Oreochromis niloticus: one gene and its partner. The protein of the gene in region 1 binds, or shares a complex with, the protein of each later gene. Links are inferred from orthologs where the notes say so. Each region holds a gene or a part of one and is shown on either strand. Other genes may lie near its edges. The genes, in order: rps6ka3b and bmf1.

The links.
Region 2: the proteins of rps6ka3b (region 1) and bmf1 are in contact, whole or in part, in a crystal structure (PDB 8R58), measured with the Homo sapiens proteins. The link is inferred for Oreochromis niloticus from reciprocal best matches to the Homo sapiens genes RPS6KA3 and BMF. Residues at the interface, in NP_004577.1 of Homo sapiens: Trp252, Phe259, Phe268, Leu281, Ala283, Lys284, Leu285, Gly286, Met287, Pro288, Leu299, Arg300, Phe303, Lys304, Arg305, Asn306, Asn309; in NP_001003940.1 of Homo sapiens: Glu8, Leu10, Glu11, Asp12, Asp13, Val14, Phe15, Gln16, Pro17.

The regions. Positions count from the first base shown.
Region 1 is NC_031974.2:5,811,097-5,819,601, forward strand, and holds the start of rps6ka3b (ribosomal protein S6 kinase alpha-3), read right to left. Parts: upstream 3,258-8,505; 5' UTR 2,877-3,257; coding exon 2,814-2,876; intron 1-2,813. Other genes in the region: pyruvate dehydrogenase E1 component subunit alpha, mitochondrial, read right to left, coding at 5,700-5,864, 5,967-6,075, 6,159-6,226, 6,435-6,506, 6,815-6,970, 7,419-7,511, 7,613-7,704, 7,795-7,921 and 1 more. UniProt on the Homo sapiens protein: Serine/threonine-protein kinase that acts downstream of ERK (MAPK1/ERK2 and MAPK3/ERK1) signaling and mediates mitogenic and stress-induced activation of the transcription factors CREB1, ETV1/ER81 and NR4A1/NUR77, regulates translation through RPS6 and EIF4B phosphorylation, and mediates cellular proliferation, survival, and differentiation by modulating mTOR signaling and repressing pro-apoptotic function of BAD and DAPK1.
Region 2 is NC_031983.2:9,098,164-9,106,919, forward strand, and holds the start of bmf1 (BCL2 modifying factor 1), read left to right. Parts: upstream 1-5,195; 5' UTR 5,196-5,470; intron 5,471-7,400; 5' UTR 7,401-7,426; coding exon 7,427-7,598; intron 7,599-8,231; coding exon 8,232-8,434; intron 8,435-8,756. UniProt on the Homo sapiens protein: May play a role in apoptosis. Isoform 1 seems to be the main initiator.

The DNA of each region.
Region 1 (8,505 bases):
AAAACATCTTCAATCTCACGCTAACACAGCTACGACACTACTGTAGCAACATTATTGGGTTTTTTAATCTCCTCTAACTACTCCTGCAGAGTTTTTTATTAAATCTGTGTGGTTTATAATCACACATTGTTTCATGTGTTTCGGTGCTTTTAAGGATCCTTAACTGCACCCCGCAGTTTACTGAGAGATTCATATAACATGAATTAAATATTTGGAGCAGTACTTCTATATTGTACAATATTACACAGTCTTCTTGGGTTTTTAATCTATTTTCTGGTCAAAGTAAAGTCCTTACAGGAGCTTAAGATTTGGCTGCTGCTGTAATTAATAATAGCCTTTAACCTGCTGGTTTAGTGCTCAAACATGACATTAACTACTGCACCTCTACGGCTGCATATTCTGACGCTGGACTAGTAGATAAGGCAATAAGCAGGAGCTGTAACACAGCTTTAGTATTTGAAAGTAAAGCCTTGCGTGTCTACAGACTGATCTCAGGAGACTTGGCGTGGTGTGTTAAAATAAGGAAATAAGGGGGGGGGGGGGGGGGGGGGGGGGGTGCTGCTGTCAGCGGTGATCTAACTGAGACTTTAAGGTGATTTAGTGAGTTTGTGACACTCAGAGTCGATGAATTGATTAAATGAGCTTCAGGGTCAGGCCAGAGAGAAAAGCCGGGGCTCTTCAGATCATTTTATGTCTTCTTCTACAGTTTGTTTTCTATCAATTTGTAGAGCATTTATAGAGCCTGCCAGTATTATAATATTCGGTGAGTCTGCATCTGCTTAAATGGTAAAAAATGTAATAGTCCCAAAGTAGTTTTGTACTTTCTGACATTTTTATATTATGGTCAGGGCATTTCCAGAGAGATTTTAACACTACTATGGCAGCTTATAGTGACACTTTCTCTGCCTGGTAGTACTAATGTAATATATCTGCATAGAAAACTTCATCTTTGTGTCTTCAGAATGATCTTATGCTACTTTCTGTTGTGTTTCAGTAAAACTAATTTAGTCCTGTTTGAGGTTCGTGGTGTTTTTAGTCTAACTTAAGGTCAAAATAATGCCTCTATAGCAGCTTTAGCTGCTGCTCTCGATCCTAATACAACCTACTTTGCAACATTTTCACACTTCGTCATTCCATTCTCTTATTTTAGCATTTAAACATGAATCTGTTATTTCTAAACAGACTTTAACATATAAAACCCAAATGTAACAACTCTGTCCCTAAACTGCTTCATGATGTGATTCAGTGCAACTAATATAGTCCCCGTCGGAGCTCTATGCTGCTTTAAATCTAATTTAAAATAGTTTGTGTAATAATACAATCTGCTGTGCACAATGTGCTGTAAACCTCTCAATTAAACACCAGTTTTATTGTTCTTCTGTGCCCACTGTACACTGTACTGGTGTAATATTTCTGCACAGAATATTACTTCGTGTTTGTGTCTTCAGAGTTACATGAACTGATTTCCTTTTAGAGTTTTATGGTATTTAAAATCCCATTTAGGGTCATAATAGTGTCCCTGTAGTCACTCAGCAGTGCTAATACAGACTTCATATATTTGTCCCTTACGACACTTTCAGACTCTGTTTACTGACACTGACAGGCATCCATGACAGACTTTTTTTCTTTTATTGTTTAAGTCATTCCAAAAATATTGTAGCACATGCTCAGGGTTTCCTTTTGCACACATGTAACATGTCTGGAGGGTGTGGACCACGTTCGGGTGTTTAGAGTAAACACACGAACGTTAAAACTACGTCGTGTTTTAATGCAGCTAACTTCATCTTTTTGGAGCTTTCTAATGTTTTCGACCAAATTTCAGGGACAAATTGATGCCCCTTTAGTCACCAGTGCTGTCAACCATAATGCAATCTCATTTTCACATTTTTGTCCTTTATGATATTTAAAACCTCTCGATTTAACACCAGAAACATGTCCATGGCAGTCCTACAGAGACTGCAACACTACGTTGGCAGCTTATACCGACAATGTGGTACTTTGGAGTTTTTCTGTGCCCTGTAGTACCACTGTAATACTCATGCATAAAGTATTATTACATATTTGTGCCTTCGGGTCATCACTTGATACTTTATGTTGTTTTAGTGCAGCTAATTTAGTCCTGCTGAAGCTTTCTAGGGTAAAAATGATGCCTGTGTTGTAGTTTAGCTGCTAAGAAGAGTGACTTTAACTAAAAAAATCGAATTATCCTGAAAGGTCCCTTCATATTTTTGCACTTTATGACATTTTAAACCACATGATTTAACACTGGATCATATCCAGGACATTCCTGCAAAGATTTGAGTGCTTATTTGGGAGCTTACATGACACTTTGGTGTACTTCTGCGCCCTCCTGAACTGGTGTAAAATTTCTGCATAGAAAATTACTTCATCTTTGTGTCTTCAGAGGGAAATAAACAGATGTTCCCAGAGTTTACGGTGTTTACAGTTCAATTTAGGGTCATAGTAATATCCCTGCAGTCACTTAGCAGCTGCTGTCAATATAAATGCAATGTATAATGTCCTTTATGACACTGTCAGCTTACTGTTTGAGCACTTCATCGTGACTCTGTCATTGCTAGCACATGTCCAGCGCTTCCTGAAGCACAGATTTACCTGCAGAGTGATCTTACGGTAGTTTGTGCTGTGTTTAGGAGCAGCTGCCTCTGCCTGACAGAGAAGGCGCTTTTGTAGCATCAGACTGCATCCTGTGCCGTGTTTTTGTGTTTTTTACCCCCTGAAAGCTGCTGCTGTGACTGCAGCCCTCATTCAGCTGTCAGTCAGTGTGACAGCAGGACAAACCAAAGTGTGCTCACCTCTCCAGCCGTCCTCCCCAGCGGCATCTTCTGCCAGGGATCCGCCAGCTGAGCCAGAGGCATCTTCTTCTTCTTCTGCCCCTACTTTTCTTTATTCTTCTTCTTCTGTTATTCCGCTTTTCTGCTGCTCGTACCTCCCTCGCTCCGGACGCTTTCTCTCCTCGCTCTTATTCTTAAAAAAAAATGTTTGAAGGTAGTAGTCCACTTTCAGCGTCGGCAGGAACCGAACCGACCGACCGACCAACCGACCGAACGGAGCCGAGCGAACAAGGGCTAATTCCGGATCTGCCGCGGCGCTGAGACCGCCCCTTCCTCCGGAGACACGAAGAGGAGGAGGAGGACGCCCTTTTTCGGAAACTGATTGACTTATCTCCGTCTCTCTCTCTCTCTCTCTCTACCTCCACCTCTCCCTCTCTCACTTCCGTTCTTTCCCAATATGGCGGCCGGTGTCGGCTTACCTGTCCGTCAGAGCGCTGCGTCACAACTACGTCACGACGACAGGCGGCATTCTCACTTAGGTAATAAAAGAGTGAACGAGCACGTATCTGAACTTATGAATAAACAGTCTGCAATTCATCACTAAGGCGGTGTTGTTTTTTTAATGATTATTTTTACCGATAAAGCCTAACAGGGTGGCGCCAAACTGCCCCACACAATCACAGAAAGTATGTAAAACGACCTTAAACGACCCAAATGACCACAAAACATAAAAAGTAACACAAAATGCAAAAGAGTATCTCAAAGATACTCAAAATGACCACAAACTATCCAAAATAAGCCACCTAACCACATAAAAACCCATCACAAAGTACACAAAATACAAATACAAAAATCTGCAAAATGGACAATCCAGCAATAACATGGCAAATTCCACCAAAAGATGTAAAAATAAACCACAAAACTACTCTAAATAACAACAAATGTCAAATATGCAAAATCAGTAAACACATTCAAAGTGATACACCAACAACCGCAAAATGACTACAAAATGTGCAAAACAGTCACAAATGACCCAGGCATGAAACAAATTACCATAAAAATATACAAAATCTGCACAAAATCACCCACAGAAATAATACTGTGACCACAAAAACCTGCTAAATGTCCACAAACAGCCAACAGTTATTCCACATATACTGTAGTGAACCACGAAATAAATAAACCACCAAAAAAAGCTCGAGGACAACATAAGTGTGTACCCATGAAATGCCAAATTACCAGAAAAAAATACAAATCAACACATTATCAAAAACTGACCAAAAAATATGCAGTGACCATAAACCACTCAATATGTACATATAATATATGAAATGCTCACAAAAACGGGAAACACGAGCACAGAAAGGAAAACGACTTTGAAGTACACAAAACGACAAAAACTACACAATAACCAAAAACAAACATCAACACAAAAAACCTCATGAACGTGCTCCTGGATTCACCGCATCGCTTCCTTAAAGCTGTGCGTCGTTACAAAATCCACTTTTGAATACTTTTGTCAGTTTTTTCTGTGACACCTTTTCACTGGTTTAAATTTACAGCATTTAATTTTTGTCCGAGCCGGGCATGACTTTCGTTCATAAAGCTTTAATAGAGCGAAAATAGAAGGGATAAAAGTCCAGACATGTCCCTTTTTATATTATGAAGCTGACAATAAACCAGGCCGAAGCCAGTGGAGATTTTTACTCTAATTAAAGTGAAAAAAATAAATTGATTTTTAGTTTTGAGCAGTTTATCAGCCTGATAGTGACATCTAGTGGTTGAGAATGGAACAACTGAACACAGCTCACTGATTTCCTTTAGTTTGATCAACTATTGAGTCATATTTGAAGCATTACTTTGTAACCACATTTTATGTTTGACAGCTGAGCAAATAAAATATGATTCAAACACACCAATCACGTTTCCACTTTTCTTTAAAGTTGTTTTATTTCACAACCTTCAGTTTCCACCATTCAGACAGGTAAATAAGAAAGCTTTATATCTGTACAGGCTCAGATACAGTAAACTTTAAAGAACACAGGAAAGATTTTATAACAGACTCCTTTAAACTCATAAAGTGCCCAGAAAGTCTCAAATGTAGTGCATCCAGTTGCCAGCTTCAGTTTCCCCAAACAAGTCCGGATGTTTGTCTCGTCAGCAGTCGAGTCGAGCAGCTCGATTATATTTTATTTACTCATCTTTGAAAAGGGGCAGAAAAAGGTCATTTCACCGTTTGGTTGGAAAAACCAGATCTATGGAGACAAAAAAAAAAAAACAAAACAAAAACACAACCAACAACAACCATTCCTAAAAGATCCTGCAGACCTCAGTGTCCAGATAGGGAGAGCCTCTAAAGCATTTAGAGACCATCTAAAGTCTTGTTTTCATCTTCAGGTTATAAACATTTTTAGAGCCATTTTATCATTACATACATTAATATTGTGTCCTTATCCTGGACACTGAAGCTGCTTCAGATGAGGGACTGCTCTGAAGCTCAGGCTGCGACTCCTCATTTAAAACACATTTACTACCAGAAAAATCCATCACATTTGTATTTCGCCGGTTTTAAAGTCACACTACTGAGGGAATACCTACACAAGTTTGCAACATTTAAAAGTCTCCTAAGAGTTTAAAAAGCAGGATAAACATGGAGAGGGTTTCTAACAGACACGTTTCCATGTCAGATGTTGGGATTTGTGCGTTTACAGTGCAGCATGTTAATCCTATCCAACACCTCTGTCTCCACCACGAATAACATCTCAGTTATACAGTAAACTATAAATAAATAACACTGGCAGGTTTCAGGTAAAAAACCTCAGAGTCCTGTGAAGGTGCTGAGACCTAAAGTCGAGAGGGAAGGTGCTGAATGTGTGAGGGATAATGGTTGGAGTGTGTGGTCCGAGTCTAGCTGACAGACTTGAGCTTGGACCAGGGGCTTGTCCCGCGCACCTCCAGCGGCGGGTTCTTGGAGAAGATGTGGTTGCATAACTCTTCCAGCGGCGGCTCCGGGTCCGAGGTGGCGAACTGAGTCGCCTCCTCCACCTGCTTACGGATCTCTATGTCGATTTCCTGATGGGAGAGAAATCAGGTGCTGTAATCCCTGCAGCTGCCAACCTTTATATAAAAAAAGGTTTGAAGCTGTGAATGTATCCCTGCTGTCTGCACGCTCACCTTGAACTCCTCTACAGACGCCATGTTGTGGCTGAGCATGCGCTCCTTCAGCATGGAGATGGGGTCGCTCTTACTACGGACCTCCTGAATCTCCTCGCGGGTACGGTAGCTGCAGGAGGTCAAACCAAATTACTGAGAAAAATCACAACTCTCCCAGGGTCAGGTAAATCCAGACTGGGAAAGGTAACTCACCTGACACCTGGGTCACTCATGCTGTGTCCATGGTAACGGTAGGTCTGCAGCTCCATTATGATGGGACCCTGAAACACAAAGTGCTGCTTCACATCGATGCTCTGAAAGATTAGAGCCTTTTAGAGATCCTACAGGAAACTCTCCACCACGAGAACCCTTCAAAATTAAAGGCTGTGGGTCTCCATGGACTTTTACATATATGAATAACAGAGTGCAGCACAGATTAGATATTAAAAATGTATAAATAAAAAAACAAAACAAAAAACAAACCCTCACCTTTCCAGCTCTGCAGTGATCTGCAGCAAACTGTGTGGCCTCTCTGACGCACAGGACATCCATCCCATCCACCTGCAGGAGAGCAGAGAGAAACCTGACCATTGGCACACCTCTACGTACAGAGACGCGACCCCTGCAGCGACACCTGGAACATTCCAGTGTTTGTGCGCAGTATCATACATGAGCATCAGGCAGCTGTATGCATGCTCACACCTGCAACTGCCAGGACAGACTCTCAGCCTCTTCCTGTTATAGTCTGGGTCCAAACGGGCCAGCGGCAGTGTACAGTCATCAGACACACTGCCGCCGCTGCCCAGGACCGGCACGTTTACCCGCCATGTTTAACCCCGCCGTGCAGCTTTAATGTGTTCATGTCTCACTCTGAGTCCAGGTATGAAGTCTCCCCTCTTGTAGTAGTCTGTGCTGGCTGCAGCTCTCTCCACCGATGTCCCCATGCCGTACTTGTTGTTCTCGCAGATGAAGATGCACGGCAGCTTCCATAGAGCGGCCATGTTGTAAGACTCAAAGAGCTGGCCCTGATTGGATCACAGAGGAGTCGAGGTCAAATGACGAGAACCAGTGTAAAGTTCTTTACAGAGGTATTAAAAAGCACACAGCTGAACCACGTAAACAACGCAGAACACAAACGCACGCCTGTCCATCCAAATGCCAGATACATTTTAAACTGCCAAGGGAGGAAAGCTGTTCCACAGTTCTGGCACTAAAGTTTGGAGCGCACATAATCAGCCTCAGTTTTCAGACGGAGGAAAAACAAAACCTCCATCTGTGGCTCAGAGGGTCCGGTTTGGAGAACAGGGGTGAAACAGAATGAGAATAAGTGGTGGCGTCACCTCGTGAAGCCAAGGAAATAAGAATAAAGATCTTAAACCTAACTGATATGACAGTGTAAGAGTGCGTGTTAAAAGCCTTTTAGCAGCATTGGTGGATATTAATAGAGTCATTTAAATCATTTTTAACTCTTACCTGATTGGCTGCTCCGTCTCCATAGAGCGTAACGCACACCTGGTTGTTGCCTTGGTACTGGCAGGCGAGAGCGATGCCTGCTCCCAAAGGTACCTGCACAGTTCACAGGTGAGTTACTGAAACCATAATGAGAGTGTTTAACTATAGAGACCTGCAGGTGTGAGAGGTATGGGAGGCTTTTTAAACGTGCTTACTTGTGCGCCCACGATGCCATTGCCGCCATAGAAATGTGGAGCGTACATGTGCATTGAGCCCCCTTTCCCTTTAGCCACGCCCCCTCTACGACCTGAGGAGGACAAATAAAAGCGAAGATGAGACTAAGATCAACTACAGGTGTGCACATGTTCAGACTGCAATACCTTCCTCTCGCTCTCACCTGTGAGCTCGGCCAGGATCTCTTTAACAGAGACACCGCGGGTGTAGGTGTACCCGTGGGCGCGGTACGCAGTGATCAGGTGGTCCGAGGGGTTGATGGCGGCCTCGATGCCTGCAGCACACGCTTCCTGCAGGAGAAACCACACGTTCTGCATTTCACCACACTCAAACTGATGTTCATTTTGGTTTTCTCTGAATGTTCTTGCATTACTCCATGCACTGAGATTTGGAATGCAATATAAATGAATTCTGTTCCTGGCCTGCAGGCGCTGATACCTGTCCGTCGTATAGGTGACAGAAGCCTCGGATGATCTTCTGCTTGTAGAGCTGGTCAGCTTTGAGCTCCATGCGCCTCACCGTCTGCATGGTGCGGTAATACTGCAGGCCCTGCTCCCTGGTCAGCTCCGCCTTCACCGGGGGCCCCTCCTCCAGGCGATGCAGGTCGCATTTCTACACCAAAACAAACAAAAACTAAAGAAGCAGACCAAACCAAAGATTTTTGGTCCGTAACTGAGTGAAGTTTGGTTTAATAAACTAGAGAAATCCAGACCTGAACCAAAGATTAGCACATTTATTCATTTACTGCTGAGGCTCTTTTAGCCTTCTGTCAGGCCTGAATACAGATCCCTGAGTGAACATGTGCTGATGATCATGACACTGAAACTGATGTTTTATTCAGAGTTTGACAGCAGATTGAACTTTACAAATATAG
Region 2 (8,756 bases), on another chromosome or scaffold:
TCCCTTTTAACAGGAAGAAACCTCCAGCAGAACCAGGCTCAGGGTGGCTGCCCATCTGCCACAACCAGTTGAGGGTGAAGGGAGTAAGACATATGTATGACATATTATATGAAGTTTGTATCTATCATTGAACATACATACACACAGTATACATATTTTACTATTATTATTATTATTATTATTATTATTTGGACATTACATTTTAAAATAGCCAGCAGCAAGAAAACTACTTGTTGGCCTGTTTTGAGGAAATTCATATTGAGGTTTGAGTAAATATCAAGGAAATAAATGTAAAACAGAGTAAATCCAAGTCATGAATGATGTGTGTATGTGTGTGTGCCTAATATTTCAGCTCCAGATGCTGTCTAATTCTTTGATCTTGATCGTGTTGTCCAGTTAAAATCTTTAGAGGAAAATCTGGAGCATACAAGTCATATTAAACAAACATGAAGGACTACAGGATGAGATTGCTGGGTGTCAAGGAGACAAGCCCTCTTTTGTTTTCAGGTCACCGCTGCCATTGGGTCATGGTCCTGTGCAAGTCTCATCTAACTGGCTTGCAGTCAGGATGTGGTTGCCATGGCACATGTCCAGTTGAAGCAAATGAAATCCATCCTTCTTAGTTTCCAGGCAGGATTCACATGCTGAGAATGTTTTGGGAGACACTCTGTGTGTGAGTGTGTGTGTTTGTGATAAATTGCGTGTGCACATTCATATAGAGAATGAGATATCAAGAGGGAGAATGGGCTTTTGAGGTTACAGAGGAAGTAGGGCATGTGATTGTGCAGCCACGTGCATGCTCGTGCGAGAAGGAGTACTACTGTAAGTGTGTGCGGGTGTGCACGCGTCGCTCTTCAGAGACAATTTTCTGATGTAACATGAACCGATGGCTGCCTTCTCTCTCCCAGGCATCTCGGGAGTTTGTGGGAACTTATTTTTGAATGCTTGTTCCACCAACCAAACAGGAGTTAATGACTATCACACCGGAGAAAGAGACAATAGAGGCCGAGAGCTGTAGGTGAGCACATCGCCTCAGAGCCTTAATCCACATACTGATAGACACGACTCAATTAAGTCAACAGGGTCTCCAATTTAAAAAGAATGTTTCTAGATGATGGCAAGAGTTGCAGTAAATACATCACTGCGAGTCACTATTTGTGCTTTAGATGCCCGTGTCTTTGTCCCACTGATGTTGGCCTATGGCTTCAATGATTGCTGCACTTCTACACTGCACACTAATGTATGTTAATGAATGACTTGGCTTTGTTTTCCAGTGATATTTTAATGTCATCAATACTATGTACTTAGGTTTTTCATTAATAATTAACGGCAGATTCTTTCAAACACTAAACCATTTAAATGCAAGGTTATCTAATATACATGCCTATCTGTTTCTTTTCCCAGCTGACATGAGAATGTATTGTAGCGTTAGCTTTCATACAGCGTGTACAACAATGACCTGTACTTAAAGGGATTCTATAGTAATTACAGGTGTTTTAAGTGTGAGTGTGTGTGTGTGTGTGTGTGTGTGGGGGGGGGGGGGGGGGGGGGGGGGGGGTCGTCTTTGTTTGGCAAGACCACAAAAGGAAGCAGCAAATAATGCTCATCTTTGAGCCTTTTGTTGCCACTCATGCAAGAGATGATCGAGTTTCCAATATCACTGTGCATGAGGAAACCAATCCCCTTTTCATGCATACCCACCCCTTCGAAGAAACTGCAGGTGGGACAAAGGCCAACCTAGCAGTCTATCCAATTAACGCATAACAGAGAAGGCAGGGACCCGTGACTTCTCACACAGCTCAGCGGTGGGACATGATCACAGCTGAATGACAGTGAGAGGGAGAAAGAGGAGTTGGGGTGGGGTGTGTTACGTGTGAGAGAATGCAGAGGGTCGGCCCCAGCTCCAGCTGTCCCAGGGTTCATTGATCAGTGATTGAAGACAGCTCTGCTGACAAGATTACCAGCATCTGCCCTGCACTTGATACCAACATGCCTACTGGAGACAAATTAGCATAGACCTGGATACAGTATACGGATAATAGTATATAACAAATTCAGGTGTTTTCAGTCCCATCTGCCACGGATGTGTAATATCAAGCACTTAGCCATGCAGTCTGCCTTTAATAACATTTGTGAAAGTATGGGTTGTTCACTGAATTTGAATGTTAGGACGTCACCATCGCAACAAGTGGGTTCCAGGATCAACTCTAAGTCTTTATAGAGCCTATACATTGCCTGACATCATTGTCAGGTATTGTGAGCATGGTGTATTATGTGTTAATTACTGTGTAATTGTGCCCCAGGGGTTTATATGCAATGCTGTCCAATAGAAACCTGGGTCCTTGCTCTTTGTTGCTTTCAGTTTTATTCAGGGACAAACATATTTGTTGCCTCCAGTTCTTTGAACATTCCCTCGCATCCATTCCGATAGCTTCAGCCTCGTAAGTTAAACATTTTTATGATGTACTTGGATTTCCAATTACTCTGTAATTTGTGCTTTTTCTGAGATGACCCGATTTAAAACCTCTGATAATGTGACAGTTTCAAGAGCTATCATATTGTCCCAGTTAAAGCATCTGTGAAAAAGCCTCTGATTGTTGTTTTTGTGATAAAAAAAAAAAAGCTTGAGTATTCTCTGCAGGTGCCTAATTAAACTGATCAAGATGCAGTCCTCTTCCAGCTGAATCTAGGTCATTTCTACCGACACTGAACAAACACAGGCATAAAAACTTCTGAAATTATAGTCTGTACATGTAACCTGTACTTTTGTTCAAACACTGTGGCGATCAGAAGTGGAAAACATAATAAATTATACTTGGGCAAATGTTGACATGAAGCCCACCTTTTGTGGATTTATAGACCCACAATATAGTGCAGAATTCAAAGTGTCACATTAACATAGAGGTACATAGACCACAGTTTTAAAGAATATACTTATCAGCAGCATCAACAAAAGCACAAATGACACAGTTTAGATGTCTTCAGCTGCGAGTGTGGTACACAGATCTCTCATAAAGCCTTTCATAGATGTTGACTTCTCCCTTACATAGTTATACAGTTTCACATCTATTACATATTGAAATCATTCTAAAAATGACTTCTTTACTGCAGAGTCTATGACAGGTCAGAGTGACCAGCAGAAATGAATATAATCCAGTGTCTGACAAAATATTTAACTAAAGTTTAGCTTGATATATATTTTACTTTTAGCAAAAGTCTGGTTTCTCTACTAAAGTCTACTGCTCTCTAAGGTACAGGATGTGACCTCCATTTTCAAGTAACTACTGAAACATAGATATCATACTATAGTGACTTAATGCTGTTCAGTGGTCATGATATTGATTAAGGCGGCTGTTGCTGGCATTAACATTAATGTTGTGCAGGTGTGTCTCATGCTGGAAAATTATTGTGCCAATAAGAAACTGAGTCTGTGAATGTGAATACACCTACAGTACTGTGCAAAAGTTTTCAACCAAACCTCATTTCTTTATATTTTGCTTCTAATGAGCCAATAATTCTTGTAACTTTAAAAGTGCTCTTGAGCAACAGTTCTCCAGACTTTCTGAAGCCCTTTCTAAGTTTTTCTTTGGATATTGACGCAATCATTATAATAGTTCAGAACTTGGACCTGACCATTTTCACACAAATTTGGTATGCAGTGTGTCCTTAAAGCTGTCCGTGTCCAGGAAATTGGACGTGTGGTGGACAAAAGAAGAAGCGCTAGGCGCAAAAGAACTATGTGTGCGCTGCCGCTTTCCATGCAGCCGGCCCCCTGAACTATGTTTTTCCCCTGCTGTGGACTCTGGGGTTTTTTTCTTTTGCTCCAAGCCCTCCATCCTGGACCCCCCTCCACCCGCTCGGGTCTGGTGGTCTGTTGTTTTTGGGGCTGTCTGGAGCCAGCCCTTAAGAAAGGGTACTGTCATGGTCCTGAGTCAGTGACCCAGTAATTTGTGTACAGTGTCTGAAAGTCAAGTACTTAAGAAAAAGGGGGGAAATCTAGCAAAGACCTGACACAGGACCTGAGAGATGCATCTGGACCTTAAATTAATTCATCTACTGTTTGCTAAAGCGTCATCGGAAATGGTTTCAGTGGAGTGGTGGCTGTAAAGAAGCCATTCTTAAGGATGGGAAATGGGGAGGTGTCCCAAATTACACAAGAACTGGACTGAAAATCAGAGATTACAGGTTCTATGAAGTGAAAATCCAAATGTAAAATTTGGGATTTAAATCCTTGTCAATAATGTACAGACGAGTTCAGGAGGTTCAACAGTGAATATCTACAGCTGTCTGTAAAACACAGTGGAGGCTCTGTCATGTTTTAAAGCCCCACTTCAGTCAATGATGTTGAATATCGCTGCCATCAGATTTCGAATCTGGCTTCATTTTTCCGATTCCAAACACAATCTGAAAAAGGATCGTGCAGGAAATGTAAACCTTGGATAGAAAAACACATCAGTCATGGCTTTGCTGCTCCTCACAGCCTGAACCTCAACATCAGTGAACCAGTGTGGCATCATCTTGACAGAGAACAGAACAACAGGCAGACAGCATCCAAAGAAGAGCTCCGAATGTTCTTCAAGAAGCCTGGAGAACTATTCCTGTAGCCTACTTTACATAAAGATTACATAAAGATTACCTAAGAGAGTTCAGGCTGCGGTGAAGAAAAAAGATGGTTACACCAAATATTGACTGTCAAGCTTATTAGGATTATAGAACCTCTGTTCTATAATCCTAATAAGCTGTGCTTCCACACATGTGTTTGCGTTTCAGTAGATCACTCTACCTATTTCTCATTTTCCTTGCAAAATATAAACAAATGAAAGACATTTGCACAGTACTTACCATAGTGAAAAACACGGGATACAGCATACTGTGAAATATGCTTCGAGTTGTAATCAACTTTAATTGTGGGCTGAATTATTTCAGCAAATTCTCAAATGTCAGATAAATATATTAATATATAGCTGTCAGGGCAAAGAACGGCTGAAAAAAACCGCAAGATGACAGCCCTATCTGACCAGAGTAGCCAGATGATCAACAGTAGTAGCGAGAAAGCGGTCTCGTGCTCTGGGGAATTTCCCCTTCCACGTGTCTGATTACACGACTGAGAAGGCGGGATAACAACAAAGTCGGCTATTGGTTGCAGCACCCATATGTAGCCGGCTCTTAAAGAGATATGCTCTATCTTCGCTTGGGAGCAGTGCAAGTGTGCCGGAGGGAAAGCAAGCCTCTTTAAAGAGGGTTTGTTTACTAATTTTTCGCGCCACGCCCCGGTGGTGGAGTCAGCTGACATGCCTGCAAAGAAATAGGGTGCTAGCGCTTTTCCTCGCAGAATGGAAGTAGTCGTGGAGGCGATAAGGACTAAAGTCGTTTGACTCAGCAGGATTCTGAACTCTTAGGCTTTTTTTCTTTTGTTTTCTTTTTGTTTTCCGGTTATAGGACAGTCGTTACAACGAAGCCGATCTGTGTGGTAAGTTCACGGGAAACATCATCACTTTTAAACGCTGTTAAATGTCCTCGTCCAGGGCGCACTCTGTCCACCGGAGCGAGCTGATTACATCAGGTAACATGCGCGTCCTTAAAAATAAGAACCGACAGCGCAACGTGCCGCTGCCTTCCATTCGCGTCTGCATTCATTCGCCCTACATTACTGCACCTAACCACCGGGCTTGTCTGCTCATAAACGCGGTTAAATGTACTGCCTGTCATTCACCCAGCGCAGATTTGAATTACACCGGCTTTCCCGGTTCGCTCAGCCCGGCTGGGTGAATGGACTTCAGACCGCGGGGCGCCGAGTGCGTCCCCGGGTGCTCTGTTTAAACGCAGTAACGACTGTTTCCTTCCTATAATGAAATGAATCAGCGTATTACACATATGCCCACTCTTGCCTTTATTTCAAGCCACTACAGCTGTGTTTTTGCATGTCTTTTTCGGTCAAATTTCGGTTTAAAACTCGCTCTGCTTTATTTCTATAAATGTGTGGTGAGTGGCCGAGCTGTGAGCGTGAGAAGGCTTCATTTCTCGGTGTGAGTAATGTTACATAAAGCCGATGCGGCGTGGTGGAAGGCTCTTCAAGCCGTTGGATTGAAACTGTGTCAATAACAGAGCTCCTTCGCCACCACCTCCACCGCCACATCTCTCCCTCCTTCCCCTTTGTTAATTTGTCTGCAGCAGGGGGAGCTACTGTCTGACACAAACATGCAGCTCACTGCCTGGTCAGTAGAGCAGTACAGACAGCAAGCCTGTGTCTCTGGAAGTTGAACCTAAGGTTTTCGCTCTCTCTCTCTCTCTCTCTCTCTCTCTCTCTCTCTCACACGCACATGCCCATGTTCTTTCTGTGTGTTTGTCAAAACAAAGCATTAAGTGGCTTTACACACAGGGTTTATTGTGAACGCACACAGTATATCGTGAGGTCTGAGCATGCTAGAGCCAGGCCAATCTGCTTATGCTGGGTGAAGAAATGAAAACTCCTTTCTCGGGGAGCTTGGCAGGCTGACAGACCAGGGAAGGGAGAGTGGCTTAGGATTATCCTCAAAGACTGTCATTACCCTTTTGCTGTGGATCCTAATTTGGAAGTGTGGTAGTAGTCTAACCCCATAATACAACTGCAGTGGTGACTTTGAGTTTTGCCAGTGAGGCCAACTTGAATTTCACCCATATTTTGATGACTGTTTGACCCACTGTATTATTCAGGGCTGAGCGCAGTCTAGTATTGACTCTGGAGAGTTTGCCAAGTGCTCCTTGAGATTCTTGCCACACTGCGGTGAGATGGGTATGATGAATCATAATGAGGCATTTTATTATTGTCATCAAATATCTGCTCTAATATCTATACAACTTTCATATTTATATACATACGGTGCAGCGATACTGTTAAAATACCAACTATTAGCGAAGTTAGTAATTATGGGACTGTTATTGAAACCCCCACCCATGTGCTTAGCAGAGACAAAAGATAATCTACCTCTTATTTAATCTAGGCAGCAAAGTCCTTTAAATGTATCTGTGGCTCAACTGACTTGCCTAACCACAGTGAATTGTGTGGTTTCATCACTGAGTTGAGCAGAGCCATTTGTCTAAATAAGCACTGAGATCTTTGCCACAAATTAAGGCAGACCGTTTGCTCATTTTCTCTTCCCCAACTTATCCACTGTGGTTTTATTGATTTGAGGGCACTCATTATAGGCCAGACAGGTTGTCTATAATGATAATGAATGCTTTGGAGGAAGGAACGAATAATGAATGTGTCTGAGATCATCTCATCAGCTCTTAGTGCGGATTTCTCCAAGGTTGGATTCATTAGCGAAGGGAACTCAGGACGGCGTGCCCGCTGGAAGACGAACTACACGTGTTCGGCTTTAACCTTTTCTTTGTTCTTTTCCTGTCACGTTACTTTTAAGGCTGCTCGTCTCAAAGCGCACCCCGTATGGACGATGAGGAGGACGATGTGTTTGAGCCAAAAGCCAACTGTTGGCGCACCACATTCAGGGAGATAAAGTGTGAACATCGAGGCACACAGACACCCGGTCCTGCCCTGGTACCAAACAACGGCATGCTGCCCTGTGGAGTCGCAGAGGAGCCCAGACCACTCTTCTACGGTGAGGCTGACAACATACCATATTTCAAAAGAGGGGAGGAAAAGGGAACACTGCCTTGTGCGTGATAACCGGTGTTATAAAACCGACGCACGAGAGCACAGTGCGAGACTCACCGTGAGGGATGGTTAACAGCGTTACTGCGCTGATCTCACCCCTGGCGCCTGATAGTCGTCATCACATTCACTTTTATGGTCTGTATGCAGTGTACCCAGCTGCTTTGCTATTCAAAAGGCGCCAGACTGGCATTGTGACTGAAAGGATATGACAGAAGTGCTCACCTGTGCAGCAACTCTTTGGAGAGTTGATTATCAGTGACACCAATTACTCTGGTGCCATAAACAAGCAATCATTCCAGAGGAGCTCTATAACTACTAGTCATGTGGGTTTATTTTGTGAAACTATTAAAGGTCATTTAAAAAAGACAAAGGAAACACCACAGCTGGGTAAACTGTGGTTATATAGCTGAGCAACCTGTTTGCTGAGAGGCACGTTCTGCAGTACTTAAGGAGACTGATGGATCTCCTTACCTGTGTGTATAAGAATGGCACGCCCGGCGTCATTGCTGTATTGAGATTATTTTGCTGAGCACGTGTTGTTTACAAAATAATAAGCATGAGTCCTGACACTCGACAGGTAACGCAGGTTTTCGATTGCACTTCCCGGCACGCTTCGAACTCGTCGGGGATCACAGAGCGAGGCGACAAGAAATCGCGGAGCAGCAAAACAGCATGGAGCGCCTGCCCCGGCAGCGACCTGCGGCTCGCAGCGTGGAGGCCTGCATCGGACAGAAACTCCAGCTCATAGGAGACCAGTTTCACTGGGAACGCCTGCAACTGGTGAGGAGGATGGATGCGTTCGGCTGATTGTGCAATACTGGGAGACAAACGGTGGCGCCGGATGGTAGTGAAACAAGCATGCTTTTAGTGGCTCACATTAAGTGTGGAGGGCAACCCGATTCTTTTGACAGTTTTCAAATTTGACTAAGTTGCAGATTGCTCCCTGTGCCTGATAACAGGCAAATACACCTTTATTGTTTGGGTTTTTTTGTTGTTTTTGTCAGATAATCTCTATGTGTGCTATCTGAGCCGGTAAAATTAGAGCAGTAAAGCCAGGAAGATACGCCAACGTTCTGTCAACAATATAAGAAACAAAAGACAC